Linked DNA regions of Coturnix japonica. The protein of the gene in region 3 purifies or fractionates together with the protein of the main gene of each other region. This does not show direct contact. Links are inferred from orthologs where the notes say so. Each region holds a gene or a part of one and is shown on either strand. Other genes may lie near its edges.

Region 1 (4,582 bases), on a different chromosome or scaffold from region 3:
AAGAGGAACAGTCAGCAAGGGATTTAGTTCCTCCTGACCTCCATCCATCCTCACTCACTAGGTGAAACCTCACGGCAGAGGAACATCAAAACAGGGACTCCAGATGCCTCAAGAGCCTTCAAAAAGAGGTATTAAAACAGCAAAACAAGCAACAGTGGATGAGGATCAGAGTGGTAGTGAACATCATGAGAAAGGCAAAGCAAGAGCAAAAAAGTCTTTGAAAGCTTCATTTGTGTGTTGTGCTGCGTGTATTAACAGCTGTGGGGTTTTGTGCCTACAAACTGCAGCCCGTGGGTGCACACACACAGCTGACAGCCGAGCACAATCATTGCATCAGCATTAGAGGAGGAACAGGCAAAGACAGACTCACAGGAATACAGCAAATATTTCTAAAGCAACATCAGAAAGTGAAGTTTACTGCAACCTCAAATGGTGTCTATGAGAACAGACTGATGCAGATCAATATGATTTAAAACCCCAACTTCAATTGCAATTTATGGTCAATGACAGGAAACCTCAAATGAAGCAATCAATTTCAATCTTGCTCCTAGAGCACACGTGCAAAACACCAAAACAAAAGGCTGATTTTGATCAGCTGTGCACAGCAAAACCTGCTGATCAGCAGCAAGAACCAGAAAATGTGGGCTAAGCTCAGCCTGCACAGTAAATGCAGCCTGGAGGATGCTTTCTAGATTGCACATGACAGTGGTGCCGTCCTCACAACCCCTCTTCCAACATAAAAAGAGAAAAGCTTAAAGTCTGAGAACAGTCAATGAAATGTTTCTGTTTTTCACTTGAATCTGAGGTCAAGGTAGAAAAGTAGAATTTAAACAAGACCCAAACAATCTGACACAGCTACAAAAATATTGACCTGAGACGTGCCAGCAGCATGCAGTCATCACAGCTGGTTTAATCAATCCAAGAATTAAACATTAACTCAGTGTTTTTCCTCCTACCTACTGGTTCAAAAACCGACAGTTACCTACATTCTATGGAGCAACACCAAGTTCCCAGACCTAGGCCTGAGATTCCTACCAGTTGAGTGTAAAAAACAGCAGCAGAAAGGTGCTATTATCAATTGTATTTAACCAAAAAGAACTGACTACAGCATGGCAGGCTTTAATATCATCTGTCGCTTTCCAAACCTCTTTTGCAGTACAAATCCATATAAGAGAAGGATATATAAAAATGAGGAAATGCTTTAAAATGATTTCCCTGGAAACTGAGCCTGGCCAGGTGCATTAAGCACATCAGTCACACAGCAGAGACGTGCTGCCTCCCCCAGGGACTGCCTGCAGCGATGAGATGGAACAGCAGCTCAGCACAGAGCAACTGAATTGCTCACTGTGAAGTGGCAGCACTTCCAATCCAGCCCTCAAAGCCTGGGGGGTTCTGTCATGCACAGGAGAGGCTGAGCAAGTCTCCAGCTGGAGCTGTCACCAGCACAAAGCTCCACGAGCTGCAGAAACACGGCTCCTGCTCCCAATGGCATCAGCATCATAAAGCTGCAAAACCACCACCAGGCAGAAAACGTTCTGTTTCACATTCTCTCCTGCTGCAGGTTCATTTAAAGCCATTCAGCCAGCACACAGACAGCAGTCACTGAGACAGCACAGGCATGTGCCAGCAGCACTGACAACAGCTTTTTCCAGCCAAGCTGCAGCACAGTAGCACTCATTCAAAATGAGTTTCCACAGATGAGCGTGTGGTCACCCCAGATTAAACACATGCTCAGCTGGAGGATCCACCCCCAGTGCAACACAGCAGCCTGCTGAGCCAAGAACAAAGGCTGAAAACAGACACCCCCTCAGCACAGCACAAATGAGACCCCGGCAGCTACCTTTGGTCCTACAGATTTCTATGAGGTTCACCACATTCTCATGCTTCAGCAGCTGGAGGATTTTAATCTCTCGCAGAGCTGTGATGGGGAACTGGAAAGGAGAAGACACAGGTTAGGAGTGCAGCTCACATCTGCTTATAGAACAGGAGAGATTGGACTGCTGCAGCACAGGACACCTGCTTGAGTAGCACTGCAACAGCTCATTTAAGAGTAATTGAAACTACAAAACATTACAGGGGCGACAAAACTCATTGGCCACCCTTAGGATTCTGCCACAAGGTGGAGGTGTTTGTGTGACATGGACACCTGCCCTCCTTTCCCATCTATGAGCACAGCACATGGCAAAGCCCCAATTGACCCACAGCACAACCACCCCACCCCCATGTGCTGTGTGCTGTTACTCAAGACCTGGCACGTTACAGCAGTAAACACCATTAAAGTTAATACACACTGATGTTCCATAGCCCACCCCCCACCCCATCCCCTCCATAGCACAGCACAGCTCACACCTACCCCCTCCTTCTCGTTCTCCATCAGCACCTTCTTCAGCGCCACCTTTTTCCCCGTCTGCCGGTGTTTGGCTTTGAACACCTCCCTGTAACAACAAGAAGAGACCCATGTAACAACAAGGACCCATATAACAACACGGAGAGACCCACGTAACAACAAGGACCCACGTAACAACAACAAGGACCCATATAACAACACGGAGAGACCCATGTAACAACAACAAGGCCCCATGAGCCCCATAAGGAGGAGGCCGAGGCCCGCAGCCCCCACAGCACAAAGGCCCCGGGTCAGGCCGCGGCCTGTTCCCCATGACGCTGAATAACAGCAGATAATCGGCCCCATAGGAGCCATGCCCGGGCTGGGAGCAGAGCCGAGGCCCGCAGCGCTCACCCGAACGTGCCCTGCCCGATCTTGGCGAGCTTCTCGTACTTGGACACCTCATCGCAGAACGGGCACTCCACCATGTCGTACTGCTTGGCCATGCCGGCCGACGGCTTCACTTCCGCCCTCTCGCCTTACGCTATTTCCGGCGCGCCGGCGCGCTGCCTGCTGGGATTTGTAGTCCACCTTAGGCCGCCATGTTGTCACCCCGGATAAACCCGTATCACCCTGCGGCTTTATGGCTGTCTATAGCTGTGTGCCCGCGTTCCCTCCCTCACAGTGTCACCCACATAGGAAGGGCCGTGGCCATACAGGGACACTCCATAGGACAAGGCCCTGGGGCTGCCCACCAGCTCTGGGCCACTGCATCCCCCATAGAAATGACCCCACAGACAACACAGCTCCACCAGCACATGGTGCAGTGGGGCCTTGGGGCTCCACCATGGAGCTGAGCCCCATATGGGGACCTCCAGCCATGGAGCTGCCAGCCTGCCCCATGCCGGCACCCAGCCATTCAAGGGCGGCCCTAAAGCACATTAATCCCATTAATGGCACCTGAGCAGCCAGGAGGGGACTGTAGGGACAACAAGGGATGGGACTGCAAGGATCACAAGGGATGGGAGCACAGGGACAGCAAGGGATGGGACTGCAGGGACAATATGGGATGGGAGTGCAGGGATCACAAGGGATGGGAGTGCAGGGACAACAGGGGATGGGACTGAAGGGACAATAAGGGATGGGAGCACAGGGACAATAAGGGATGGGACCGCAGGGGATAGCGGGGACAGCAGCTGCCATAAGAGCAGATGGCAGCAGCGAGGAGGAAGCGCTGAGTGATTGAGAGAGCAAAGCGAGAGGCGGAGGGGGGACAGGAAGGGAGGAGCAGGCAGGGACAGGCTTCAAGTTTATAAACTTGTCCCTGCAGCCTCCACCCAGCACAGCCATGGCTGAGGGCCAGAAACGAGGGGGCTTCAAGAAATTCAGTAAGTCGTATCGGGATGGAGGGGGTGGGTGCTGGGTGCTCACCTGGGCTGGCGTGGGTGGGAAGGGGGTGTGTGAGTGTGAGCGTGGTCACCTCTCATTAGCAAGAAGTCTTCAGTTTTGTTAGGAAACTGGGGGCTCTGGGGGCTTCCATCCCCACAGCTGGAGCAAACCCTGGTGCTGATGGCTCTGGTGCTGGGGTTGGACTGGGAGCAGTCTGCTTGCACTGGTTGCCAGCATGTGACAGGGGTGAACCATTGCTCTGATCCCCCAAATCACAGCTTTCAGGGAGCATTTACCCCTCTGCATGGCTGGGGCTGGTGGTGTCCAGGAGCCCTCTGTGTGCTCCTGCAGCAGAGGGATGGGGTGGATGCTGGGGATAAATCTGCACTGATGGAGCCGCGCTCGGGACCGAAGCGGTGGGAGCTGAGCACAGAGGAAGTGCTGCTGCCCACCAGGAGGGAGCTGAGCTCTTTCTCACAGCCCTCGGGTTTTCCCCAAAGCCCTCGGAGGAGGCTCCATGGGGCTGCACGCCGCCAGCGCTGCACTGAGCAGGACATTGCCTTCACTGCTGCTCCCCGCATTCCTCTGCCTCCATCATGCTGATGCCGGCGCCGGAGGGAGGCCGACCCCTGAGCTCCCCCGGGAGCTGAGCAAAACCCATCTCCCACGGCCCCGGCCAAGCTGGGATTTTCCATTGTGGTGGAATGCGGGGGAAATGGGGAAGGCCCCCAGCTTTCCCACCCTGCAGCAGCCTCAGATGCAGAGGATGCTCGGATGCAGAGGGGATGTTTAACCTGAAGCAGTTTTGTCATTAACAGAGTCCAGGTCATGAGGTTTTGGCTATGCAGGAGTGCTTCTGGGTTTCTG
Region 2 (2,447 bases), on a different chromosome or scaffold from region 3:
ACAAAGATGTCAACGTGGTCGTGGTAGAAGGAGGTGAGGATTGTTAAGGCGGGTTTTGGTCACAGCATGATGTTCATAGGTTGCTTTTGCAAAGATCACCTGTGTGTGAAAATAACAGCCAGAGGATTACGGAAGAAAAAGGAAGTAAGGAGGCACTTTGAAACTCCCTTCATTTTAAGTACAGGGGAAAGCACTGCAAGCCAGATAGAAATAAACAGAACGTTTGATGTTGATGGAAAATGCATTTGATTTAAATCATTGCATCCGTTCAGAGTCCAGTGCAGTTACTCACACTTTGGCTGGAAGGGCCTGGCTGTGCTGTACTTGTGTCTGATCAGCTGAGCATGCTCTGAAAGGCTTACTTGTGTGTTTGTTGTTCTTCTGCCTTTTAAAGTCTCCTAAAAACATGAGGGTTAAGGACCTTTGTGAATGTAAGTCTCAATTCTCTCCCCAGGCCCGAAAGCACAGAAGAAATTCAAACGTCTTATGCTTCATCGAATAAAATGGGATGAACAAACATCAAACACCAAGGGAGAAGGTAAGCATTAAACCCTGTGGGGAAGGAGGTGGTAACAGATGATGTTGTAGCCATTGGGTTGGTTGAGCAGTGGTGGTTCTGCAGGACTAGAATTTGTTGTTGCTGTTTCTATTCCAGATGATGACGAGTCTGATGAGGAGTCTGTTAAGAAAACAAACAAATGCTCTCTGGTTTGGGAGGTGAGTGGGCAGAGTTCTGGTTTGCTGGGAGTTCTGGGGGCTTAGGAAAGGCACAGGTTAACCCTGCCTGATAGAATGGCTGCTTTGTATGGAAGGGAAGTCTACTGATCTGAATTGAACTGTACAGTTCTTAAGCTATAGCAGAATTACACAGTGTGGGGTAGATACTCCAAACCTCTTGCAGCAGTTGGGTTAATTGCTTGTTGACCTGTAAAAAACATTTATTCTCAGTTTTATTTCAGTTACTTTCTCCCCATAGACTTGTGGAAATGAGTCCCCTTTTCTCTTCCAGGGCACGGCAAAGGATCGAAGCTTTGGCGAAATGAAATTTAAGCAGTGCCCCACTGAAAACATGGCACGGGAGCACTTTAAAAAGCACGGAGCAGAGCACTACTGGGACCTGGCTCTGAGTGAATCCGTGCTGGAATCCACAGACTGAGGGTGATGCTGCCCCCGGCACCCCCCCCCCTCCCTTTCTTCGTTTGAGAACGAATACCTCGTGGGAACTTGAACGACCCCCTTCCTCCCCCTCCGGTCTCAGTACAGCGAAGTATGATTAAAAGAAATATTTTTTAAAGCAAATCACTTAACAATTTGTTTTTCTGGATACGTTCAGCTCCTGGAGGAGGTGTGAACCTGTTGGCTGCCCCCCCCCAAGCCCACACTGTAGGGAATCTGACCTGGGAATGTGACCTTCTATGGAAAGAATCGTTATGGAGCTGAAGGGGAGAAGTTGTTTTCTATGCTCTTTGTGTCCCTTCAGGTACGAAGGTCTCAGGGCTGTGCTGGGAGGTGTGGGGGGGCACAGGGGGTCTGTGTGGGGCAGCACAGGGGACAGGGGAGGAGCACTTGGTGTTTGTAAAGCAGAGTAGGAGACGGGGACTTAGCCCACATCCTATATTTACATAATAAACATGTTGGTTTCTTTTTGTAAAAGCTGAAGCCGCCTTCGGTTTGTGTGTGTTTATGGCAGCGTTTGGAACAGCACCCAATGGGGGGGTTTGGTGGTTTAATGGGAGTTTGGTGCTTTAAGCGAGGCTTGATCTCATTGCAGTGCTCCCTGCGAAGGGCAGCTCAGCCTCTCCCAGCTTTCTGCTCAGCTCAGCGGGCCGGGTCGGACATTATGGCCCCGTTACTTCAAGCCTCATCTTGCTTCTCTACAGCGCAGGCGGCCGCCATCTTGGCCGCGGGGCAGGCCGGGAGCGAAGCGCAATGCTTGTGGAGGGGGGTGATGCTCAATGCGCATGCGCGACGGCAGGGAGGACGGCTGGGTGGAGCGGCGCATGCGCATTGCTCAGGAGGGCGGGCGGCGGCGCATGCGCAGTGCAGAGGCGGCTGTGGTGGGGGGGGTGCCGCCGCCGAGGCCGTGTGAGGGAAGGCCTGGCACAAATGGCGGCGGGGGGGCGGGCGCTGCGCGCGGAGGGGGCCGGCGAGTGACCGAGCCACCACCGCCCCGGGGTGCTGCTGGTTGGGGGGGGGGGGGGACGAAGCGGAGACGGCTCCGTGCGGCTGCCGAACCGACCTCGGAACGCGGCCCGGCCTCTCGGTGTGGGGCCGCCTCGTTCTCCACACACCCCCCCACACCCTCCGTTTCTCCTCCCAACCCCCCCCCCGGGACCGTGACGGCGGGCGGCGGCCGCGGCCCCGCGGGGCTGTGAAGGCCGGGAGCGCCGCCGCCGTCCGCGCGGCCCCGCCTGGGAGAGCAGGGCACGAAGATGGCGGCGGGCGGC
Region 3 (4,392 bases):
GACCCGTCTGTCCCCTCCCCCATAAACGCTGTGTCCCCCCCCCCCACCTTTGGCGCTGTGCTGAGGGGTCCCCAGCAGTTCGTAGCTGGCAAAGCCGACCTCGGGGGAGGTCAAATAGGAGGGAAACTGCTCCGGGCGGAGGCGGATGCGGTGGTAGTTCCGGTACGTTGTCTCCTGTGAGGTGGAGAGGGTTAAAATGGGGAGGGGGCCACACAACTAAAGGCCCCATAACCCAACTATGAGCTGAGGGGAGGTTATAAGGGGTTCTGTGGGGGCAATGGGGTGTTGGAAGGAATTAGGAGAGGGATCTGGGGCTTTTGGAGCGGGGTTTGGGGGATTATGGGGCTGCAGTGGAGGATTGGGGGGGGTTGTCTTGGTGAGTTAAGGGGATTTGGGGGGAGGGTTATAGGGCTCCAATGAGGGGGTTGGGAGGATATGGGTGGGAAGATCTTAAAGAGCTGAAGGCTCTGAGGGAGGTTCCCACAGTCCAGCTGGGGACTTTGGGGAGGGTTATAGGGGTCCCACAACCAAAGGCTCACAGCTGGACCCATCCCACAGACAAGAGCAGACCCCCATCCCGCACCCCCAACCCCCATATCCCCCCCAGTCCCCCATTGGTGCCCCATAACCCCATTCATCTCACCGTCAGCCCCTTCCTCTTGCGGTAGGAAGCCCATGGCTGTGGCTCCAGCAGCAGCAGCCCCCCAGGCCGGAGGTGTCTGTAGGCCCGACGGAACAACCTTTTGAGCCCCTCGTCCCCCCAGTTGAGCTGCACCCATTTGGTCAGGGACAGAACCAGCAGGACGTCGAATTCGGGGCGCTGGGCCCACACCGCCTCCTCTCGTTCGGGGACGTAGTTGCCCTATGGGGTGGATGGGTGGGAGAGAGGTTAGGAGGGGTCTCATGGCAATGGGGAAGAGACTGGGTAGGGGGGGTTAAATAACAGATTAAAGGAGATCTTCAAAAACGATGGGGATTGAACTTAGAAAAGGGGGAGTGGCCCCACCCCTTCATGTACATCCTAATCACAGCCCCTTCAAAGCACCACCCCCTTCCATCGGCACCACCCCTTTAGCCACACCCCCTATTTACCCCCACCCCAACTGTGTCACCTTCCCATTTATTGACCCCAACCCAAACCACACCCCCTCCTTTAGCCCCACCCCTTTCATTTAGCCACACCCCATATTAAAATCAAACCCCTTGTAAAGCCCCACCCCCCAACCACGCCCCCTTTAGCCCCGCCCTTAACCACGCCCCTTAAACCTGCTGTGCCTTTAGCCCCGCCCCCAAACTTAGCCCCGCCCATTCACTCTATGTCACTCTTTTAACCACGCTTCCTTCCTTTAGCCCCGCCCCAACCCAACACCCCGCCCCCTTTCCTTAACCACGCCCCCAACCACACCCCTTCCGTTAGCCCCGCCCCAAACCACGCCCTTTCCCCTTAGCCCCGCCTCTAAACCATGCCCCCCTTTAGCCCCGCCTCTCTAATTGGCTCCGCCCCAAACCACGCCCCCTCCCTTTAGCCCCGCCCCAAACCAGGCTCCCTCCGTTTAGCCCCGCCTCCAAACCACGCCCCCTCCCTTTAGCCCCGCCTCTCTAATTGGCTCCGCCCCAAACCCCGCCCCTGCCCATTAGCCCCGCCTCTCCGATTGGCTCCACCCCCAAACCACGCCCCCTCCCTTTAGCCCCGCCCCCTCCCTTTAGCCCCGCCCCCTCACCGTGACAAACACGACGTTATGGGGGAAGTCGGAGGCTCCGGGCCCGTCGGGGGGCAGCCGTGGGGCAGCGATGGGTCCCCTGCTGGCCAGCAGCGCCGCAGGGAACCCCTTCCTCCCCCCTCCCTCCACGGCGGCCATTTCTTCGGACAGATAATGCCTGATGTTCTGCCGGGCCGAGCGGATCAAGGCCCCGTCAATGTCCAGCCCCACCACTCTGCTGGGCCCCCACCTCTTGGCGATGCTGAGCGTGACGTGCCCCACGTTACACCCCACATCCAGCACCTCCTTCCCGGTGAACCACTCGGCCTTCATGGCTTTCAACCTCCCGTCCTCGCAATCCGGGTTGCGATAGCCGTAATATTTACAGTAATTCCCATATTGGAACTTCTGGCTCTTGCGGCGCCGTGGGGCCGTCGTGGGGGTTTTAGGGCCGTTGTTTCCCCCTTTCCCTTTCTCCGGTGACGCCGTAGATCGGGCGGCCTCTGATTTACTACAAGTCCTTCTCCTCTTACGGTGCCGGCTGTTGGAGCACGTTGTGCTGCTGTTTCCAGCCGTGTTGGTGCTGCTGCTGGCCGTGTTCCCGTGCTCCGTGCTGCTCTCTGGCTCCATACTATTGTTGGTGCTGTTGGTGCTGTTCCCCCGTTGCTGACCCCGGTGGCGATGCCGACGTCGCGTTGCTTTGGCAGGTGATGCCAGACGGAGCCCGTCATCCCCCCCGGGCGCGTTGAGGCTGAGCGGGTCGGTGATGTCCCGCGGGATGAGGATCTCCACGGGGTCCCGTCCTCGTGCCGGTAGCGGTGATGACTGCGGGGTGCGTGCGTTCAGCGTGCGGCTCACCTCCTCGTCCAGGAGACTGTTGAGGTTCAGCGGGTCGAAGATGTTCCCCCCCAGCAGGAACTCGGACGGCAGCGCGGGGTCACATTCCGACGTCGCTCTCCGGCGCCGTTTCCACGGCGGTTGTTTGGATCCGGTGCAGCTGCTCCGCCGTTTTCCCCCCCCTCCGCCCCCCCCGCCGCCTCCTCCGGTCGCTCTGAAGCCGTTCCTGGGTCTCGGGGCCTCCCCCGCTCCGTCCGTTTCCTCCCGTCCCCTCCGCCGCTGGGGCCCGGTGGTGTCGGTGCCGCCCGGTGCAGGCCCGCCCCCCCCCGGTGGTTCTCCGGTCCTTAAAGGCGGCGGAGGGGCCCGGAACGCGTCGGGTTCAGCCGCCATCTCGATCATGGCCCGGCCGCTCCGCCCACCGCCGAGTCCAACGAGCCGGAGCCGGACGGTGCGGCGCGCGCCACCTCCCTCCCGCGATGGCAGGCGAGTCGCACCCTGCGCCTCCTTATATAGCCGAGGGGCGGGGCCACGACGGGCCCCGCCCCCCAACCGATAGACGGCCAATGGCGTGTGGCGCGCGGACGGAGGGCTGCGCCAATCGGTAGGAGGCGGAGTGGGCGGCGGCCAATGGGAGGAAGTGGCGCGCGGAAGAGGGGGGTAGCGACCAATGGCTGCACAGCGCGTCGGGGGCCTCGCGGGGGCCTTGCGGTTCTGGGCTGTCCACGGCGGTGCCTGAACGAAAAGCTACAGCGGCAGCTGGGCTCCCGGCCGTTCCTGGCCGCGGCCGACGCTGCTCCCCGTTATCCCGGACGGTGACGGCGCAGCGCGGGACGCACGGGCGGCAGAGCGGCTGCCTTTCGCCAATGCGCGTGCGCAGACGCCGGGTGCACACGGCGCACGCGTCACCCGTCGGCGCGCGCACGTGACGCATGCGCACAGCCTCGGCGCGCCGCGCATGCGCAGTGGGGCGCCCTCTGTGCGTCGTGCATGCGCACATGTGGCGCGGAGCGCTGAGGGGGAAGCGCGTGCGCACTGAGCGCGCTCCCGCGGCGGGAGGGAAAGCGGAGGCGCGAGGCCGCGTTTTGAGGGAAAAACGGGCGATTTTGGTAAAAAAAAAAGATGTCACCGAAATAACAGCGGCCACAACCCCGGCCCCAACCGCCCAGGCGGCTCCAGGCCCCTCCCTGTGCCGCTGTGAAGGCGCTGAGCCCCCATTCACAGCAGTGCGGCCTATCGAGGCCTGCGCCCAGCTCCAGGCCTGGGGGGGGGGGTTCCATTTATCGGCTCTTTTTGCTCCGGTTCCGTTTATTTTCTCCTCATTCTTTCGCTCCGTGTTAACGAGGGTTAATGGGCTCAGGGGCATTTCCGCTCCACGCACTGCTTGCCCCCCTCCTCGTATTCCTGCTTGGAGATCCACATCTGCTGGAACGTGCCCTGGGAACATGGGGAGGGGTCGGGGGGGGGGAGATGGGGGGGCACAAATCGCTGCCCCCCCCCCACGTTGTTTGTATCGCCCCCAACTCACAAGGGAGGCCAAAATGGAGCCCCCGATCCAGGGGCTGAAGCGCCGCTCCATGGTGCTGTTACTGGCGATCAGCTTCAGGCGCATGCTCTGTGTGAGGGGGGGGAATGAATGGGAGGGAATGGGGGGTACCAGGATGGGCACTAAAAGGGATACTGGGAGGGATTGGAATGGGGATTGAGGACACTGGGAGGGACTGGGGGGCAATAGGGGGCTATAGGGGAGGGAATGGGGTGCAGTGGGGGGGGATCGGGGGTGCTGGGGGGTCAATCGGGATTGAAGGGACTGGTGGACACTGGGAAGGAGTGGGTGGAACTGGGGGGGAACTGGGAG
Region 4 (4,382 bases), on a different chromosome or scaffold from region 3:
AAATCTTGTGATAGGATAAAATCTTCAGACAGGATAGCGGTTTCAAGCTTTTCAATATTTGTTTTGGAGCAGAGGGGTGCAGAAAAAGAAAACTTCAATGCTATTTTGTAATCATTGGGGGATTTTCCACTGAATTTTCCCAAAGTGAAGATATTTAATTGTTGATACCCTCCCACTCAGTGAATACTGGAATAAGTACATGCAACTTTTAGTTTGCTAGCTTACCTTTGCTTCCAATTGGTTGGCAAAAAAAGGAGGGTTGCACATGCAGAAGTCATAAACTATCTCAGATTCTTCTTTCAGTGCATCCATAAGAAGAGTCTTCTGTGGTACCTTAACCACTAACAGAAAAGACAGATTCAGTCAGTAAGGAGTGTCATATTTTATCAAACATGTGATTTTCACTTCTGCATTTCTTGAAACAATATAAAACTTCCTTGGCAACATATTCAACAACAAAAAGCATAACACAGCATGCAAATAAAAGTTAAGGAGTAGCATACAAACAGCTTATAAGTATATCCACAGTAGTAGTGGAAGACACGTGTCTTTAAATCTACAATTAACTGCACTAAGTTCTCTGCTGCAACTATGAATGTAAAAGCTTTCATAGTTCAAATTTACAAAAGGAAAGTGGCTTATCCTACTGTTACATATGGGGTATTGATTAAAAAAAAAATGCAAGGAAGAACAAATTTTGGCAATCATCCTATTCCAATAAAATATACGCGCCAACTCAGAACATCAGGTAATTTTTTGCTACTACTTACAATCAAACTCCAAAATGGGTGTTGCTAAAATAGTAACTGGTTACAGCAGCATAATCAGCTCCAGATAAACGCTTCAGACCCGGGAATTAAGAAGTCACAGGGTGGATCAATTCCAGGAAGCTGCCGGCTACAAGTACCCATAGTGGCACTCCCTGACCTGCTGCTCTGCCCAACAGCAGTCAGTCATTTACTTATCATTTAGCTTATCACTGTAGGCACTACAGCTACACCTGAGACATCTTCCTATGCTGGAGGTATTTCCTGTAAAGTGTAACAGCACCACAGCACTAAGAATCCTATGATGGCAGCAGTTAGAGAATAAAGACATTGTTCTCCACATCAAGATCTGGATCTTCAAGACTGAAAGGGACAGGGGAAAAAATGATACTCCAAAACTCTATAAAACCCTCACTGACATTTTTCCAAGCTCCTCCACAGATAAAGCCTCACACTCTGCTACTACCACAAGCACTGTTAAGACATCATTCAGAAATGAAGAGTAAGAATTGACTCTGTACAAAGTATACGTATTAGTGTCACACACATTATTTGAGGGGAATACTCCATGTCTCCCAGCAGCAGAAACAGCAGGACTATAAGAAATGCTTCGGTAACAGAATGAAACATGGAGAGAGAAAAGCTCCCTAGGATTCAGTTTAACTTTCAGATGAGTAGCTCTTTTTCCATAGTTGCCATTCTGTACAAGCTGTAACTTTTTGCTTTAAGGGCACATGGACCATAGCAAACACTCTGCCAGTAAAAACAACGGAGCACGTATTAGCAGGAGTACTGGTTCTGATATGCCACTTGAATATGGCAAAAAAAAAACAGGTCACAACATCTGTATGCTACTAAATTGCCTATTATATCATACCTTTTATAAGATCAGACAAGTTATTCTGTTCCACGTTCTTCTTGGCATAATTGAAGCACATATCATCCACTTCTGTTGCAAGAAAATACCAGCCATTCAACGTTGATCCAAGTAATGGGTATATACATGATGCCCCTGTCCCTGCAGTGTGAAAAGCATATGAAGAAAGCAAAATAAGTCTCTAGCGTTATACACAGCAGTCATGCACTTTAAACAAAAAGAATTAATCTCAAGAAATCACTGCCCAACAATCATCCATTATTCAGTTCTTTAGCAAATCATTTTAAGAAGTAATTTAAAATATGGTACTGTGAAAGATGCACTATGAATAGGGAGCACCACACTCCTTGCTAGCATACGTTTGCTACTGAATTATCAACTTCTTCAGCAATTTTCCCACATATGACAATGTTTTATACAGAGAAAGAACTCGGTCTTACTTGCTTTGCATGTGCGTGTATATGCACATTTAATTGTTACTGTAATTACTGTTCTATTTTCCTTTTCTGGCCTAGTGAACACTTTTTATCTCAGCCTGAGTTCTGCCTTTTATCCCCCAATTCTCCTCCCCATTCCACAACAAGGGGGAGTGAGCAAAGGGCTGCACGGTGTTCAGCTGCTTGCTGGGTTAAAACACAAGCCACAGAAGAAGTAATTTACCAAAGGATCCCAAGAAAGAGTTACTATGCAACTCACAAGCTCTCATGCATACATCTAAAACACTAACATAACTCAGAAGACAGTAACTTAGAAGACAGAGAAAAAAATACAACTAACTTCCCACACATTTTCTTTCCTCAAAACTACTGAGTTGAGTTCATTAGCTGTAAGTAACGGGCTAATTAAACACTTGGCCCTATAACCAGCCCGCGGTAAGTACCTATGTCAATGCCCCGCCTGAGCACTCCCTTGTCAGCACCCTGATGGCCAATGAGATCCTCCACCCAGTGGATGTAGTTCAGCCTCAAGGGGACGGTCGGGATGAGCCTTTCCAGGGGGATGTCAATGGTGAGCCCAAAATCCTCCTTCAGAAGGGTACACGTCAGGGCTCTCACCGCCTCGGGGTCCTTGAAGTTCAGGCTGAAACACAAACAGGCGTTACCTTGGGGCCCGGCTCGGAAACCCGCCCCCCCTCCGCCCCGGCCTCCTACCTCACCCTGCCGGCCAGTGTGGTGTGTACGTGCTGCCGGAACTCGGGGTACTTGCCGGCCAGGTAGGCGAAGTCGGGCGGCTTGTCCTTGTAGCGGTTGCGTGAGTGCATCGACTTGTTGAGCGCCATGGCGGGAGCAAAGAGCCGCCCGCACCTCAGCGGGGCCCCACCGCAACGCTTCCCGGCACGCACCGCGGGCAGCCGGGACCTACCAATGGCGGCGGGAAGGGGGAGCTGTGAGGGGACGGGGACCGGGAGGGGAAACACGGAGGAAAAATCCCACCTTCCTTAAGGTGGCTGTCGAAGATCAGAGCTGCTTCTGATTGGAAGTATTTACTGTAAGTTACTTCTAAACACGTCTAGAGGGCGAGCGAGGAAAAGCGCTGCATGAAGCAAAAGGCTGTGGGTTGGGTGTCGTGATGCTGAACGGTCACCAGGCGGGAGAAGAGACCGTGGGATAGAAGAGACCATGGAATAGAAGACTGGAAACCTCATAAATCACTACCTGAGATAGGCGTGTGTATGTGTTAATTGTCTCATGTGTAATTGATGAATATGTACTATCTGTGGAAATATAATGGACTCTGAATCATGTAATCTTTGAAGCACTTATGGTGGAAATATCCCCAGCGCCACTAATAAAGAATACCTGGCTTAATGGTAACAAAACTTTGCCGTTCAGTTTCTATGCACTGATTTTTTAAGCATTTCATTGGCCAGTGAAATGCAATGGTATTTCATTTCCATGTGACAGGAGGAACTTACTGAGTACGGTGTGTTGCTTCCTTGGATAACCCGGGTAAAAACATACTTCAGCAGGAGTAACATTAAAGTGTAATTATTATTATTCTTTTATATATTTTTATCCTTGTTAAACCTCCAAATGCTTGCGTGTTGTTTCAGAATTCAACACGTAGGCATCCCATTGGACTCTCAACTGTGTGAAATGACTTGCAGCTGGATTTGCTTTCAGTCCTAGGTCCTGCCCTCACAGCTGCCTGTGTCCTAAGGGACTAATGTTTATTCTTTTTAACACACACCTTTTTGACCAGAGCAACATCCCAGCTCACTTCCAGCCCACCCTTCCCACTTCTGGAAGTCATTCTCCACCCTCTGCCCCCACCCACAGTCGAAGAAGTGAAGCTGATACAGACAAAAGCAGAATGGAGGCCGAGTTAAAAATATGAACTTTAATTTGGAGCACTTAGTGTATTTACAGTAGAAAGGTTCTCTCTAGTCAAAGGATGACAGATTCTAAAACAAAATCCACATTCACAAACATGTGGACCTGCACCTGATGCAGGCTAATTGCTTTTTGCTACTTCTGCTTCACTCAGGGTAACAGCCGTGAGAAAACCCCGGTGTGAGCTTGTAGATGGAATCAGATGGTTCTTACACCGAAGTAGCACATACACAATGGAGTCCAGAAAGTAGTGTGAAGTTATCCAACAGCTGCTAACAAATGACTCATATTAATGAACGTATACGCAGTCCCATTTGCAGCTACGTCAGATTCAGTGAATCATTATTCAGGGAGAGACAGGCAAGCAGACACAAGCCTACCAACCTGTGTGCAAGCACGGATTTG
Region 5 (3,330 bases), on a different chromosome or scaffold from region 3:
CCACTAACAAGCCTCCACTAGTGTAGCCTCACTCTTGCTGTGCTAGAAAAGATGAATGCACTTGATTAAAGCTAAATTGCAGGACTTGCACTGAGATTAGCAGCATCACAGGAGTCCGTACGTGCTGGAACACGATTCAACTCTTAGAAGCTTGCTGGTACCCTGGGGTCAATGCTTTGTTCTGTCTGCTTGGGGGCAATGAGAATAACCAAAACCACTTTTGCCTCAGCACAGAGGTGGAGACCAGCACAAAGTTGCAGGCAAACACTTGAGCAGGACAGATATTTCAGTCCCCTTCACTCTTTACAGAGCAATGCTAGGAATAGAAGTGCCACAGCCTGTTATTTATGGGGGGGGGTTTAAAGATATAGCCAGTATCATTTGAACACCCACTCAAAGAAATAAAGCTGCCTGAAAGCCATCCTCCAGCTTTAAAGCTGCCACTGACACACTGCTGCACTCACAAGATTAACTGCCCCAGGCTTCAGTTCCACCAAGCACAGCTCACACGGGTTACACCAACCAGTACAAAATTTATTTAACAAAAAATAAGCTTACACTTGTGGTTGCTTCATTAGGTTCAGGTGAGTAAACAAAACACAACGGGGTCGGGTCACTACAGGGTTCCTCTGCCACTATACTCGTTCCAAAGCTTCCAGCATAATGATGCTGTTTCCTCGTATTACCTACAAAGAGAAGTTGTCAGCAGGAGGTGAGATGAAGCACGTTATGCCCACAGCACAGAAGGTTTTCTTTCCCTTTGACTTTTCCTCCTAGAAAGCTGCATGGCATGTGCAGCTCCAAGAGCTGAAGTGAATGAGAGAACTGCAGGGGCTCATGGCAGCAGTCAGCCGGCTGGAAAAGGCTCCTGCAGGAGGGTGGTTGATAGAAAAGGTGGATGAGAGCTTGATATAAGACAGCAATGTATTCTTGTGACCTCACAGCCAGCTGGGCTGCCACCCCTCTGTTACTGCAGCAGACACGGAGGGCTCTGTCCCATCCTGCTCTGCCCTCCTGAGGCTGTTCCCCATTCCTAGAGGTGCCCAAGGCCACGGATGGGCACTGGGAGGCCTGAACTGAAAGGAAGCCCCCAGCCCAAAGCCCAAAGCCCAAAGCCCCCAGCCCAAGGCACAAAGTGGGCCTGGGGGCTGCCATCCCCCCCAGCACTCACCACCATCCCGATGTTGTTCTGCTGCCCTCCAGGCGCCATCTCCACGCACTCATCGATCACCAGGTTCATGAAGGGGTCGAAGCCCCGTAGGATCCCCTGCACGTGGCGGCCGCCATTTAACTTCACTACGAGAAACCGGCTCATTCAGAAACAAGGGGAGGGGGGGGTTAAAAGGGAAGGGAGGGATGGGGGGGGGGGGGGGGCTTTGTGAATGTGGGCTCATGGCACAACCCCGTTATAACAGCGGGACTCACACGACAGCTTCTTGTCCATGAACCTGCAACGAGAGCGCAAACAGAGCAGGCCGCATCAGTGTGGGGTCGGGACCGCCATCATTGCGGGCCCAACCGGACCCAGACCGAACCCGAACCGGACCCCACGGCCCCTCCCGACCCTCTGGGCCCCCCTCATCCCCTTCAGTCCTCCCTTATCCCCCCTCATCCCCCCTCATCCCCATGTTGGCCCAGCTCTCACTTCTTCAGCTCGGGTGGGTGCGCTTTGCTCATGGCGTCTCCTCAGCGCCGCTGCCGCTCGCGCCGCGTAATGACGTCATCACGTCGCACGCTACGCCCAAAGCCCCGCCCCCTTTTCCCGCCAACCTTCGCATCTCGCCGGCAGCCAATCAGAGCGCTCGGACGCGGCGCGCGTGCGCGTTTGGAGCGGCCCCCATGCAGCACGTGCATGGAGACCTGCAGCTCTGCTGCATTGCATGCACCGCGCATTGCACACCCACTGTATGCACGGCATTGCACACACACAAAGGCACTGATACACGTATTGCAAGCCCTGCACGGCTCACCGTGCACACCTTGCACAGCCATCGGCTCACAGCTGGCAGTGTGCACCCTTTGCACACTGCACCCTTTGCACACCCTGCACCCTTTGCACACCCTGCACCATTTGCACACCCTGCACCATTTGCACACTGCACCCTTTGCACACTGCACCTTTGCACACTGCACCTTTGCACACCCTGCACCCTTTGCACACCCTGCACCCTTTGCACACCCTGCACCATTTGCACACCTGCACCCTTTGCACACCTGCACCCTTTGCACACTGCACCTTTGCACACCTGCACCCTTTGCACACCTGCACCCTTTGCACACCCTGCAACATTTGCACACTGCACCCTTTGCACACTGCACCCTTTGCACACTGCACCCTTTACACACCAGCACCCTTTGCACACAGTGCCCCACACCCTGCAGAAGCACTACCCCACACCTTGCACACCTGCACACACCTTACGCAGCCATCACCCCACACTTTGCACACCTGTACCCTATCTATACACTGCACATTTGCATGGCTCATCCCACCCCCTATACACTGCACAGCCATCACCCCATACTTTGCACACACCCACCCCATACATTACACAGCCACCACCCCACACCTTGCACCCCCACACCCCAAACCCCCAGCACCCCTCGAGCACCACGAGTGCAGCTCCTTGCCTTTAATACCACCTTCCCCCACCCCAACAGCACCCGCTAGTGCTGTAGGGCCGCCAAGCCATCCCGCATCCTCTTGGCCATGCCTGGCACCAGGCGTAGGTGCTCGTCCCCACAGGCAGCAACGCAGGCGTCGAGCTGGGAGCGTGCCCTTGTCTCCCCACCGCCCGCCTCCAGGGCATCCTTGGCTCTGTCAGAGCAGTGCAGCGTGCAGCGGCTCAGGCGGTCCTGCAAGGGGATAAAGGGGCATAGATCAGGAGAGTGATAGAACCACAGGGGTTGGAAGGGACCTCTGGGGCTCCCCCATGGTGATAAGCATTGACTGGATCCCCTCTCAGCCTCTGCAGGTGAACAGCCCTCGGGGCTCTCAGCCTTCTCCCATCAGGGGATGCTCCTCCAGGCCTCCACCATCTCTATGTCCCTACATCAGCTCCCTGCCTGGAGCTGAGCAGCCACAGCTGGACCCAGTGCTGCAGATGCGGCCTCAGGGCAGAGCAGGAGCACCTCCCTCACCCTACTGGCCACGCTCTTTTTAAAGGACCCCAGGGTCCAACTGGTCTTCATGGCCACCAGGATGCACTGCTGGCTCATGGTCAGCCTGTGGGCAATCAATGGTCAACTGTTGGTCAGCCATCGGTCAACTGTTGGTCAACCATTGGTCAACTGCTGGTCAACCATTCACTGGTCAACCATTGGTCAACT
Region 6 (4,213 bases), on a different chromosome or scaffold from region 3:
CCCAGGCAAGTTCATAAAGCTGTGTGTTAAGGTATGTCAAGAAATGCCCAAGTCTATGTCTATAATATGCCTTTCAAATATACTCGTAAAACATTCCATAGCCATTCCAAGTAAAACATTCATTCCCCTTCCAGCCCCACCATGAGAATAAAGTGCAATCAGGAAGGCCTGAGAAACTATGTATTAAAAAAAGCAGTGTACAAGGCTCTTGTGCACCCACTGATAACCAGGAAGCATCTTTGGTTTTCTACAGAATTTAATGTGTTCAAGAACTGAAAATGGCTACAAATGGTGGCAAATGAATGCATAAATCAGGCTACTAAATTTGTTTCCTACTGATGGTATTGCTAAGCTTTGCTCTGCTAACAAAGCTGCAAGAGAAGCATCTGAAAAAGCTGTAAAAATTCTATTCTATCAATGCATTTTAAGCAGGACACAGAATTTCTCTCCTACAAGGATATGTTTACATAAAACCATAGATTAGTACACCATAGACCAACACAGTGTTGCCCTCCTCCAAAACATCAATCTGGAAAACTTCAGTATGGACAAAAATCAAAACACCAAACAAGTCACTGCTTTCTCAGGAAGCAAAGCCACATTATCACAACTTAATACAGCATTAGCACTAGAGAAGTTCATTAAAATCACCTTTTCAACAAAAACATAACACATCAAATCTGAAAGGTAAACCAAATTTATTTAAAACAAACAAAAAAAGACACTGCTATTCCCAAGATTGAAAAAACAGGGTGCTTTTACTTATGTCACACACAGCTCATTTACAGCAGTTACATTAATTCAGGGGAAAATGAGGTTTTCACACTGCTTCAGCTGACAGGTACTTTCTGCAAGAAAAACTCATTCCTCTTCCACAAAAAATAGGCAAAAACGTTCTATTAAAAAGTGTATGCAATTCTGAGACATGATCAAAACAAATCGTCCAAGAGCCTGAAACCTTCCAAGAAGGTTCAATCCTTGGTTGCTTCAGCCAACCCTCAGCGGGGGAGCTACAAGCACAACGCCGTCACCTCTGACAAAGAGCATCGGAATATTCCTTTTGGTAGACTATGAAGAAGCAAAGAAAAGATTACATTTACAAAAGAGAAGTATACAGAACACATCTACTAAGCATGTGACAAAATTCAATCCTAAAAAAACACCAACAAACATCAGCTCAAACATGCAACTTCGCGTCCTGCTGAAGATATCAAAATCAACAAGCACCTGGATGTCCTTTGTGCTTTCATAACAATTTGCCTAAAACACCTGCTAGATCCTAGTCCAAAAGGTGCAGTTATCAACACATTATTTTGACAACATGACAATCTAGATTGCAAGAAGTTTTCTATGGAGGTAAATACACTGAAGTCCTTACTTTATAAATCTCTTCGTATGTTTCTTCGTCAATCTCTATTGTTGTTACAGTTTCTTCCACATCGCCCAGAATCATATTTAAGTGCTGATCATATGCCTGTAGGAACAAAGTTCATTACTTCTTCCAAAATTCAAGCACAAGCTCATTAAATCCATAATTCTAGCAAGACACTCAAACAAAATTATTTTAACCTGATTTGGGTCAAGATGTTCCATGTGTGAACATGATGTATCAGCTGTAACTTCAACTATAAAGGCCAACATCAGTACTCCACAGCATAAGGAAGGCTCTTATACTCACTGAAACTCTCCTTCTGAAGCTCATGCACAAACTCTCAGAGGTGGACACACTTGTTCTTGTCGTTAGCATTAATCCAACTAAATATTATTTGCTATCAGCCCAGATTTCTGGGATTGGATTATCTATAGCTATGAGAGCTGTAACTCAAACAACAATACATAAATTTTAATTAAGCACTTGTTCCAAACACCCTACAAAGGGAACTTAGGAATTATACCAGTGCATCACAGATCTGTCCTCACCTTTTTGTTCTCAAATGTATTTGAGGCCCAGTTACCACATGGGAAACTGGTTCCCTTCCTCAGCACAGCACCACATTCCAGAAGGATAACACAACCAAACAGAAAACAAAAGTTTGTCTCACTAAGAGACATCGCTCTCAAAAGAAAACAAAGAACAAATCAAGTATGGAGAGAACCCAGCTGAGTACACATCCCAGCAGTCCTTGGGTTTGCTCTACAAGACAGTTGCTTGATATACTTATTTCCATCTTAACAGAGTCGAGAGTCCTTTATGAGATGATGCCTGCATTATTACTTAGTCCACAGACATGGGAATAAAAGCAAAAATCAAGAGAACGAATCACTTGGAATCATTTAAAAGACAACAGACACGGAAAAACAAAATGCACCTTTTGAATCTCTGGCAGAACACTGCACAAACCAAGCGCTGCTGTTGAGCACATTACAGTAACATAACAAATAGTTGCACATAACAGCACAGCCTGCTGCCTGCTTGGAATTGGCACTCACATGCAGCCTGCCTCTGAGCTCTCTGTCATTCCTCATCTTCACATAGATCCTCTCATCCAGACTGAGCCTGATGAGGTCGAGGGGCTCCTCGACGGTATTCGTTGTCTGTTGCTGAAAACAACACCGAAACAAGCAGTTATTCACGCAGGAGCAGTGAATACGAACTCCTCCACTCCTCAGTTTGCATTCTGAAACGCTCCCTCAAGTCCCAGTATCCACACAGAAGCAGACAGGCTGCATGGCTCAAACCAACACGGCAGCACGGCATATGGCAAAGGGAAGGCACACGGATGTGCCACCAACCCACCAGCTCTCTCTTCAGGCCCTCACCACCTCACTTGGCAGCCGGGGTGGCCGCAGAAACACCGCTCCCCCCTAAGAAAAGTAAAGAGCCATTCACCTGATCCACCTCGTCCGCCATCTTTCAAACCGCTTCTCGCTCTCTCTCGTGATACTTTATGGCCCGGCCTCTTCCCCCCGCTCTGAAGGGGCGGGGTAATGCTCGCCGCTATGGCGAGGAAGCGCAAAGCGTCGGTTCAGCGGGTGTCTGCCGGCAAAAGGCGGCCTGGAGGGGTGGGAGTACGGCGGGATGGTGCGGAGGAACGTGAGGAGGGTGAGTGTGGGAGGCTCGGCTTCTGGGGCTGCTCTGCTTTGAGGGAGGGAGGCAGTCAGCATGGAGCTCAGCAGCCCCCCATGATGGGCCGGGGCTGGAGTTGTTCAGTGCAGCTCTGCTGGAGCCTGCAGAGATATTGCTATGTATCCATAGGGATGAGGTTATATCCATGAAGAAAATTTCTTTCTTTTCGATGTAGGTGATTTTGTTGAAGAAAAACACAGTGTAAAGAAGAGCAGAGCCGGAGTTGCAGCTAGGAAGAAGGAGGAAGACAGTGATGCTGGAATTGCTAAGTTAGCAGAGAAGCCTTCAAAACAAAAAGGGGTAAAAGGGCGAGTGAAAGAAAATGAGAGAGACCCTGAAAATAAAGGGGATGATCACGAAGAGGAAAAGTGCAGGTAAGCTTAGCTGTTGTTCATCATGATGCGCTCTGTACCTCACTGTGGGTTGGATGTTGTGGTTGTTGTGGGTTGGATGTTGTGGTTGTTGTGGGTTGGATGTTGTGGTTGTTGTGTAGGGTCCATTGCCCTACAATGTTCACATAAAGGGGTTACGTTAAGCTGGCAGGCCAGTTTAGTTTGTCTGTGACACACAGCTGTACAGAAGTACTGCCTGGCTGATGGCAGGATCTGTCTGAGGAAGGCAGTCTGCATGGGAAGCAAATATCTGAGCCTTTTCAAATCAATATCGTAATTGTAAGATAGCGTTTCATTTATTTCTACACAAGACTAGGGAGGTTTTATGGCATCGAGCATGAACAGAAACATTGCTGTGAGATATATGGTCTTCCTGTAGAGATTTCAAGGGGGATTGTATTAATGAGAAGAATGAAGCTGCTTGGTCTCATTTCACTGGCCAACCAAATCATTGGGTGTTAGCGTAGTGAAACACAAGCACTTCCAATCCCAGTGCATTATGAGGTCTCAGTAAAGACAAATGATTCAATGAAGACATTCATACAAGCTGTTAGGAAAGATGGGTCATTGTTTTTAGGTTCAGTCATCTTCATTCAAACAACCTGTTAGAACCAGGACCTGTGTCTGCACTGAAACGTTGTTGTTCAACGAGCCTGTAATTATTCATGGCAAAGACTGCTCGCTTTACAGGCACACACACGGTTCAGTTGTCAAATACTTACAACCTTTACATCTGTTGTTACTGATGCAGAGA
Region 7 (4,529 bases), on a different chromosome or scaffold from region 3:
AGTTTGACCGGAGGAAGGCAAAGTTCTTTTGCAATGTCTGTGTTCTTGATTTTCAATGCTTCATCAATCTGAAATGTATGGGTAGGGTACAGTCATCAGTCAGGCATACACATGTACATATGATGCCCACACACCACGCAGGTATTTGATACAGGTGTGCTTCAAAGCACTGGAACCAACCAAAGTCACGCTCTGAGAAGGCAGTAAAAGCTGCTGATAGTGTTCTACCATAAGAAAGGCCTTTCAATAATACCTGTTTTATTCTGCTCCTGCCAAGCAACAAATCTGCAACCTACTACAGGGAACCTCCTTTGGCAGAGGAGCTGGACTAGGTGATACTCAGAGGTCCATTTCAACCCCTGATTCTATGAAATATAAGGAATGTCTCAAAGTGTGCAGTGCTTGTTAATAAACCAGAGCATTATTTTACTGCTGACCAACTGCAGGGACTGTTCCAGGTTTGTTCTGCTGTAATATAGAAACAACCTGCTTGTCACAATGCCAAGCACACGGAGATCAGCCAATGGAAGACATTCCACTATACAAGTGCTTTCTTTATCTATTTTCGATTGCTGTGTAGCACCCAAAGCTTCTTCACAGCTTATTGGAGACTTCCAGAAAAGGCAAATATTGCTTTAAAAGTCAGGAAAGATGAAACTGCATTCTGAGCTTCTATGTGAGTGTAACACCTGGAGAGCACCTCTCTAGACCCCTGTTTCCTTCCCTGATCCCAGCAGTGGGTGTGAATATGTACCTGCTCCCCACTGTGCCCCTTAAGCCAAGCCCTTACCGTCTTCCCTTTCACCCACTCTGTTGCCAAGGAGCTGGAAGCGATGGCAGAACCACAACCGAAGGTTTTGAAGCGAGCATCAACAATGCGGCCGTTCTCATCCACTTCCACCTGTGGGAGTTATCAGAGGGGCGCTCAGTTCCACGTAGGAACCACACACAAAGGGACAGCGATAGGACAGCGAGTTTAAGGCTGGGGGTTTATCGGATTTTAGGGCCTGCAGAGGGACTTTAAGGGACAATGAGTTTAAGGCTGGGGGTCTATTGGATTTTAGGATCTGCAGAGGGGCGTAAAGGGACAGCGAGTTTAAGGCTGGGGGTCTATTGGATTTTAGGGCCTGCAGAGGGGCTTAAAGGGGGTGTGACGGAGGAATCCTATGTCACAGCCATATGGTGGCAGACACTGATGGTTGTGTCCTTACAGGGCACCCCGTGCTCCCCTCACCTGCAGCTTCATAACGTCTCCACAGGCCGGGGCTCCCACCAGGCCCGTACCCACGTTCTTTGCGTTGCGATCGAGAGAGCCCACGTTCCGCGGGTTCTCGTAGTGATCCACCACCTGCGAGAACAACGTGTCACTAACAACCCCCAACGGGCACTATGGGCTCCCCACAGCCCTACCCGGCCCCTCTCACCTTCTTGTGGTAGCCCGCCCCCCCCACCGCCGTCGCCCCCCGCCCGGGCCGCAGCAGCGCCGCCCCCGCCGCCCTCAGCGCCGCCATCTTGAGTCTGCCCGCACCTGGCAGCGGCGCTCTGCCCCAACCCTCCCGAAGGACCCCTGGAGGCCGAGGCCCTGAGGTGTCCGTGGCGCTGCCTCTGCAGCAGACTAAATTATAAGGAGTAACGGGCCGAGCTGCTCGGCTTTTCGTGGCAGTTGGACGCGGAGAAGAGCAGAACCTTGTCGGGAGAGTTTATCGTCCTTTCTTTCACCGCTTTTGGCTGGGGGGAATGTACAATATTGAGACAGGCGCGCAGTAGCCAACCCCATCGGCTGGCTGAGAGCGGCCGGCAGCGAGGCGAGCTGCAACAAGATGGCGGCGGCGGGAGCCGAGGCGGCGGTGGAGGAGGAGAAGCGTGTGGTGGAGGGAGACCCCGAGTCGGGGGGGGATTCGGAGGATGAAGGCGACTCGGATTCATCAGGAGACGGCGAGGATGAGGAGAAGGAGAACGAGGCGGAGATCCAGCGGCTGGAGGAGCAGGTGGGGCCCGGCTGTACCGTGCTTTGGTTATGGAGATCTGGAAACGCCTCCGGGCGTGATGCCTTTTAATTCGCTTTTTATTCCTCGCTTCAGGGCGAGAGAGACTCAGGGAGCAGCCCTGGTATGTTGAAAGTGAACTCAGATGGTGGTTTCCTTAGTGATCTTGAAGGAATTAAAACGCGTTTGCTGAGGAGGGCTCACTGGGTGTTAGCGCTGTGTCTGTACTTGGGGGCTCTCGGGCCTTAGGGCTGTGAGTTCAGTCTTCTGCAGAACTTTAAAGCCCAGCTTTAGTAACAGGGATCTTCTATGAAGGGCTGCAGAGGTGGTCGGGGCCTGCAGCTTCTATTTGAGGAGCCCTGAGGCTGCCCTTGAGGCAGGAGGGAAGGCTGAGGGAGCAGCACTTGTCAGGGTAGAAATCGTGAAGATGGGGCCAGGTTCTTTTCAGCCATGCCCAGCTACACGATAAGGGGCAGTGGGCACAAACTGGAACCCAGGAAGTTCTATCTGAACGTGAGAAATAACTTCTTCGCTGTGAAGTTGACAGAGCCCTGACACAAGCTGCCCAGGGAGGTGGTGGAGTTTCTTTCTTTAGAGATGCTCAGGATCCACTGGGATGCTTTCTAATGCTACCTGCTGGGGGGAGGGTTGGACTGAGGGATCCTCAGAGGACTTTGCCTTTTCCTGTCACTTACAGTTCTGTGATTCTGTGTAACTGAGCAGGGAGGTGAATGTCTGTCTGTACTTGGCCCTGGTGAAGGCAAGGCATCTTAAGTGCTGCGTTTAATTTACTCACTACAGAAGAAAGGCATCAAGGCCCTGGAGCATGTCTGGAGTAGGGCAGCAGAGCTGTAAAGGGTTTGGAGTACGAGCTATATGGGGAGAGGTTGAGGGAGCTGGGGATCACAGAATTGTAGGATGGTTCTCCACTACTCCCTGAAAAGAGGTTGTAGCAGGGTGGGAGTTGCTCTCTTCTCCCATATAACAGCGATGGGACAAGAGGCAAAGGCCTTAAGTTATACCAGGGGAGGTTCTTGTTGAGTATTGGGAATGACTGCTTCTTCAAAAGAGCAGTCAGGAATTGAGACAAGCTGTCCAGGGAGGTGGTGGGATCACCATCCCTGGAGGTGTTCAAGAACTGCAGGGATGTGACACATAGAAAACAGTGTGTAAAGTTCTGTTCTGCTGAGTATTTGCTGACTTCTGCAAGCCTTTAAAAACTTCCTTTATTTTCTTTAAAGCTTTCCATCAATGCTTTTGACTACAATTGCCACTTGGATCTGATAAAGCTGCTCCGCCAAGAGGGAGAGCTGGTGAAGCTCAGAAGAGCTCGGCAGAAGATGAGTGAACTCTTCCCACTTACTGAAGGTACAGAGCTGCTTCTCCTTGCAGCTGGTAATACTGATGAAGCATCATCAGTGTGAAATACTCTTTGTGCCAGGTTTCAGCCATGCTGTTCCAGCCTAAAGGATCAGATTGAAGCTCTGAACTCAACTTGAAGCAGGCCTTTCTTTTTATTTATAGTTAACACTGTAACAATATAAATACCTGGCAGTGGGCTTTTAGCTTTGGCAAGTGAAGGTTTCCTCTTAGGCATGTGGGAACCTGCAGCCTCTAAAGCCATCTGCTGTTTCTTGTAAAAAAGAAGGAAACTGTGCCACTCAATGCCTCTTTGCTGGCCTATGTGCATTCTCTGTGCATGGTGCTGACCAATTGCTGCTCACAGCTTCATCTCTCTTTAAATAGAAGCATACTTGCTTAGGACTAGGTTGGAGACATCAGTACCAAACTTTTCATTTAAACTAATTGTGTGTAGATGCGGGGACTTAAAATTGCTCTTTTTCTCCCCATTTTCTCTATCCCCATTTTTAAGCCTGTTATTAAAAAATAACCAAAAATGTAAAGGGAAAAGTTTTTTTCCAAGCGTTGGTGACTGTAAACTTCTTGGTTTCAGAAATCTGGCTGGACTGGTTGAAGGATGAGATAAAAATGGCTTCTGAGATCTCAGAGCGAGAGAAAGTTTATGAGCTGTTTGAGAGAGCCGTGAAGGATTACATCTGTAAGTTCTTAATGTGTGGGAGTTAAAAAAACATTTAAAGGTCTATTATACTGAATAGTAAAGACAATTTCTATGCCTTTGGATAAGTATTTGAGATGCCTTTGTATTTTCGAGGACATCAGCTCTCCTGTTTCTCATAACTTTGTTTAGGTCCTGAAATTTGGCTGGAATATGCCCAGTATTCAATCGGTGGCATTGGTCAGGAAGGAGGAATTGAGAAAGTTCGCTCAATATTTGAGAGAGCATTGACAGCGGTTGGGCTGCACGTGACAAAAGGAACAGCTCTGTGGGAAGCGTACCGTGAGTTTGAGAATGCCATCCTGGAGACAGCACAGGTAAGGCTGGTCTGATGGGCTGCTGTCAGTTAGAGGCTGTGGTGGAGCTTCCGAAGTCACCTTATGCTGCTTATCAGTCTCCTTGGAGAAATGAGGCTGTGGTGTCACTCAGTTGTTTCTTTTCAGCTGTAGAGACTGACTGTTTGGACT

The links.
Region 1: the proteins of MEPCE (region 3) and CDK9 purify together in Homo sapiens (affinity purification with mass spectrometry; 10 studies listed by BioGRID and IntAct, counting the BioPlex papers as one, with this or other methods). This does not show direct contact. The link is inferred for Coturnix japonica from reciprocal best matches to the Homo sapiens genes MEPCE and CDK9.
Region 2: the proteins of MEPCE (region 3) and PRPF3 purify together in Homo sapiens (affinity purification with mass spectrometry; 4 studies listed by BioGRID and IntAct, counting the BioPlex papers as one, with this or other methods). This does not show direct contact. The link is inferred for Coturnix japonica from reciprocal best matches to the Homo sapiens genes MEPCE and PRPF3.
Region 4: the proteins of MEPCE (region 3) and METTL16 purify together in Homo sapiens (affinity purification with mass spectrometry; 3 studies listed by BioGRID). This does not show direct contact. The link is inferred for Coturnix japonica from reciprocal best matches to the Homo sapiens genes MEPCE and METTL16.
Region 5: the proteins of MEPCE (region 3) and SNRPG purify together in Homo sapiens (affinity purification with mass spectrometry; 3 studies listed by BioGRID and IntAct, counting the BioPlex papers as one, with this or other methods). This does not show direct contact. The link is inferred for Coturnix japonica from reciprocal best matches to the Homo sapiens genes MEPCE and SNRPG.
Region 6: the proteins of MEPCE (region 3) and LSM3 purify together in Homo sapiens (affinity purification with mass spectrometry; 3 studies listed by BioGRID and IntAct, with this or other methods). This does not show direct contact. The link is inferred for Coturnix japonica from reciprocal best matches to the Homo sapiens genes MEPCE and LSM3.
Region 7: the proteins of MEPCE (region 3) and SART3 purify together in Homo sapiens (affinity purification with mass spectrometry; 6 studies listed by BioGRID and IntAct, counting the BioPlex papers as one, with this or other methods). This does not show direct contact. The link is inferred for Coturnix japonica from reciprocal best matches to the Homo sapiens genes MEPCE and SART3.

Annotation. Positions count from the first base shown.
Region 1 is NC_029532.1:3,652,236-3,656,817, forward strand, and holds the start of CDK9 (cyclin-dependent kinase 9), read right to left. Parts: upstream 2,876-4,582; 5' UTR 2,833-2,875; coding exon 2,741-2,832; intron 2,436-2,740; coding exon 2,354-2,435; intron 1,932-2,353; coding exon 1,841-1,931; intron 1-1,840. Other genes in the region: SH2D3C (SH2 domain-containing protein 3C), read left to right, coding at 3,675-3,714. UniProt on the Homo sapiens protein: Protein kinase involved in the regulation of transcription.
Region 2 is NC_029540.1:1,882,231-1,884,677, reverse strand, and holds the end of PRPF3 (U4/U6 small nuclear ribonucleoprotein Prp3), read left to right. Parts: coding exon 1-33; intron 34-454; coding exon 455-538; intron 539-655; coding exon 656-717; intron 718-1,009; coding exon 1,010-1,156; 3' UTR 1,157-1,655; downstream 1,656-2,447. Other genes in the region: RPRD2 (regulation of nuclear pre-mRNA domain-containing protein 2), read left to right, coding at 2,433-2,447. UniProt on the Homo sapiens protein: Plays a role in pre-mRNA splicing as component of the U4/U6-U5 tri-snRNP complex that is involved in spliceosome assembly, and as component of the precatalytic spliceosome (spliceosome B complex).
Region 3 is NW_015439878.1:132,621-137,012, reverse strand, and holds the start of MEPCE (7SK snRNA methylphosphate capping enzyme), read right to left. Parts: upstream 3,037-4,392; 5' UTR 2,937-3,036; coding exon 1,722-2,936; intron 863-1,721; coding exon 644-862; intron 175-643; coding exon 48-174; intron 1-47. Other genes in the region: ACTL6B (actin-like protein 6B), read right to left, coding at 3,891-3,971, 4,063-4,149. UniProt on the Homo sapiens protein: S-adenosyl-L-methionine-dependent methyltransferase that adds a methylphosphate cap at the 5'-end of 7SK snRNA (7SK RNA), leading to stabilize it.
Region 4 is NC_029516.1:71,191,462-71,195,843, reverse strand, and holds the start of METTL16 (RNA N6-adenosine-methyltransferase METTL16), read right to left. Parts: upstream 3,021-4,382; 5' UTR 2,924-3,020; coding exon 2,796-2,923; intron 2,725-2,795; coding exon 2,525-2,724; intron 1,786-2,524; coding exon 1,645-1,785; intron 342-1,644; coding exon 226-341; intron 1-225. UniProt on the Homo sapiens protein: RNA N6-methyltransferase that methylates adenosine residues at the N(6) position of a subset of RNAs and is involved in S-adenosyl-L-methionine homeostasis by regulating expression of MAT2A transcripts.
Region 5 is NC_029537.1:791,257-794,586, reverse strand, and holds SNRPG (small nuclear ribonucleoprotein G), read right to left. Parts: upstream 1,765-3,330; 5' UTR 1,678-1,764; coding exon 1,646-1,677; intron 1,449-1,645; coding exon 1,426-1,448; intron 1,297-1,425; coding exon 1,172-1,296; intron 687-1,171; coding exon 636-686; 3' UTR 514-635; downstream 1-513. Other genes in the region: protein FAM136A, read right to left, coding at 2,668-2,856. UniProt on the Homo sapiens protein: Plays a role in pre-mRNA splicing as a core component of the spliceosomal U1, U2, U4 and U5 small nuclear ribonucleoproteins (snRNPs), the building blocks of the spliceosome.
Region 6 is NC_029527.1:8,367,369-8,371,581, reverse strand, and holds LSM3 (U6 snRNA-associated Sm-like protein LSm3), read right to left. Parts: upstream 2,929-4,213; 5' UTR 2,852-2,928; coding exon 2,831-2,851; intron 2,542-2,830; coding exon 2,431-2,541; intron 1,475-2,430; coding exon 1,379-1,474; intron 1,069-1,378; coding exon 988-1,068; 3' UTR 680-987; downstream 1-679. Other genes in the region: XPC (DNA repair protein complementing XP-C cells), read left to right, coding at 2,929-3,043, 3,243-3,441. UniProt on the Homo sapiens protein: Plays a role in pre-mRNA splicing as component of the U4/U6-U5 tri-snRNP complex that is involved in spliceosome assembly, and as component of the precatalytic spliceosome (spliceosome B complex).
Region 7 is NC_029530.1:5,666,803-5,671,331, reverse strand, and holds the start of SART3 (squamous cell carcinoma antigen recognized by T-cells 3), read left to right. Parts: upstream 1-1,565; 5' UTR 1,566-1,820; coding exon 1,821-1,988; intron 1,989-3,226; coding exon 3,227-3,353; intron 3,354-3,939; coding exon 3,940-4,044; intron 4,045-4,194; coding exon 4,195-4,379; intron 4,380-4,529. Other genes in the region: ISCU (iron-sulfur cluster assembly enzyme ISCU, mitochondrial), read right to left, coding at 1-68, 791-901, 1,235-1,348, 1,425-1,511. UniProt on the Homo sapiens protein: U6 snRNP-binding protein that functions as a recycling factor of the splicing machinery. Promotes the initial reassembly of U4 and U6 snRNPs following their ejection from the spliceosome during its maturation.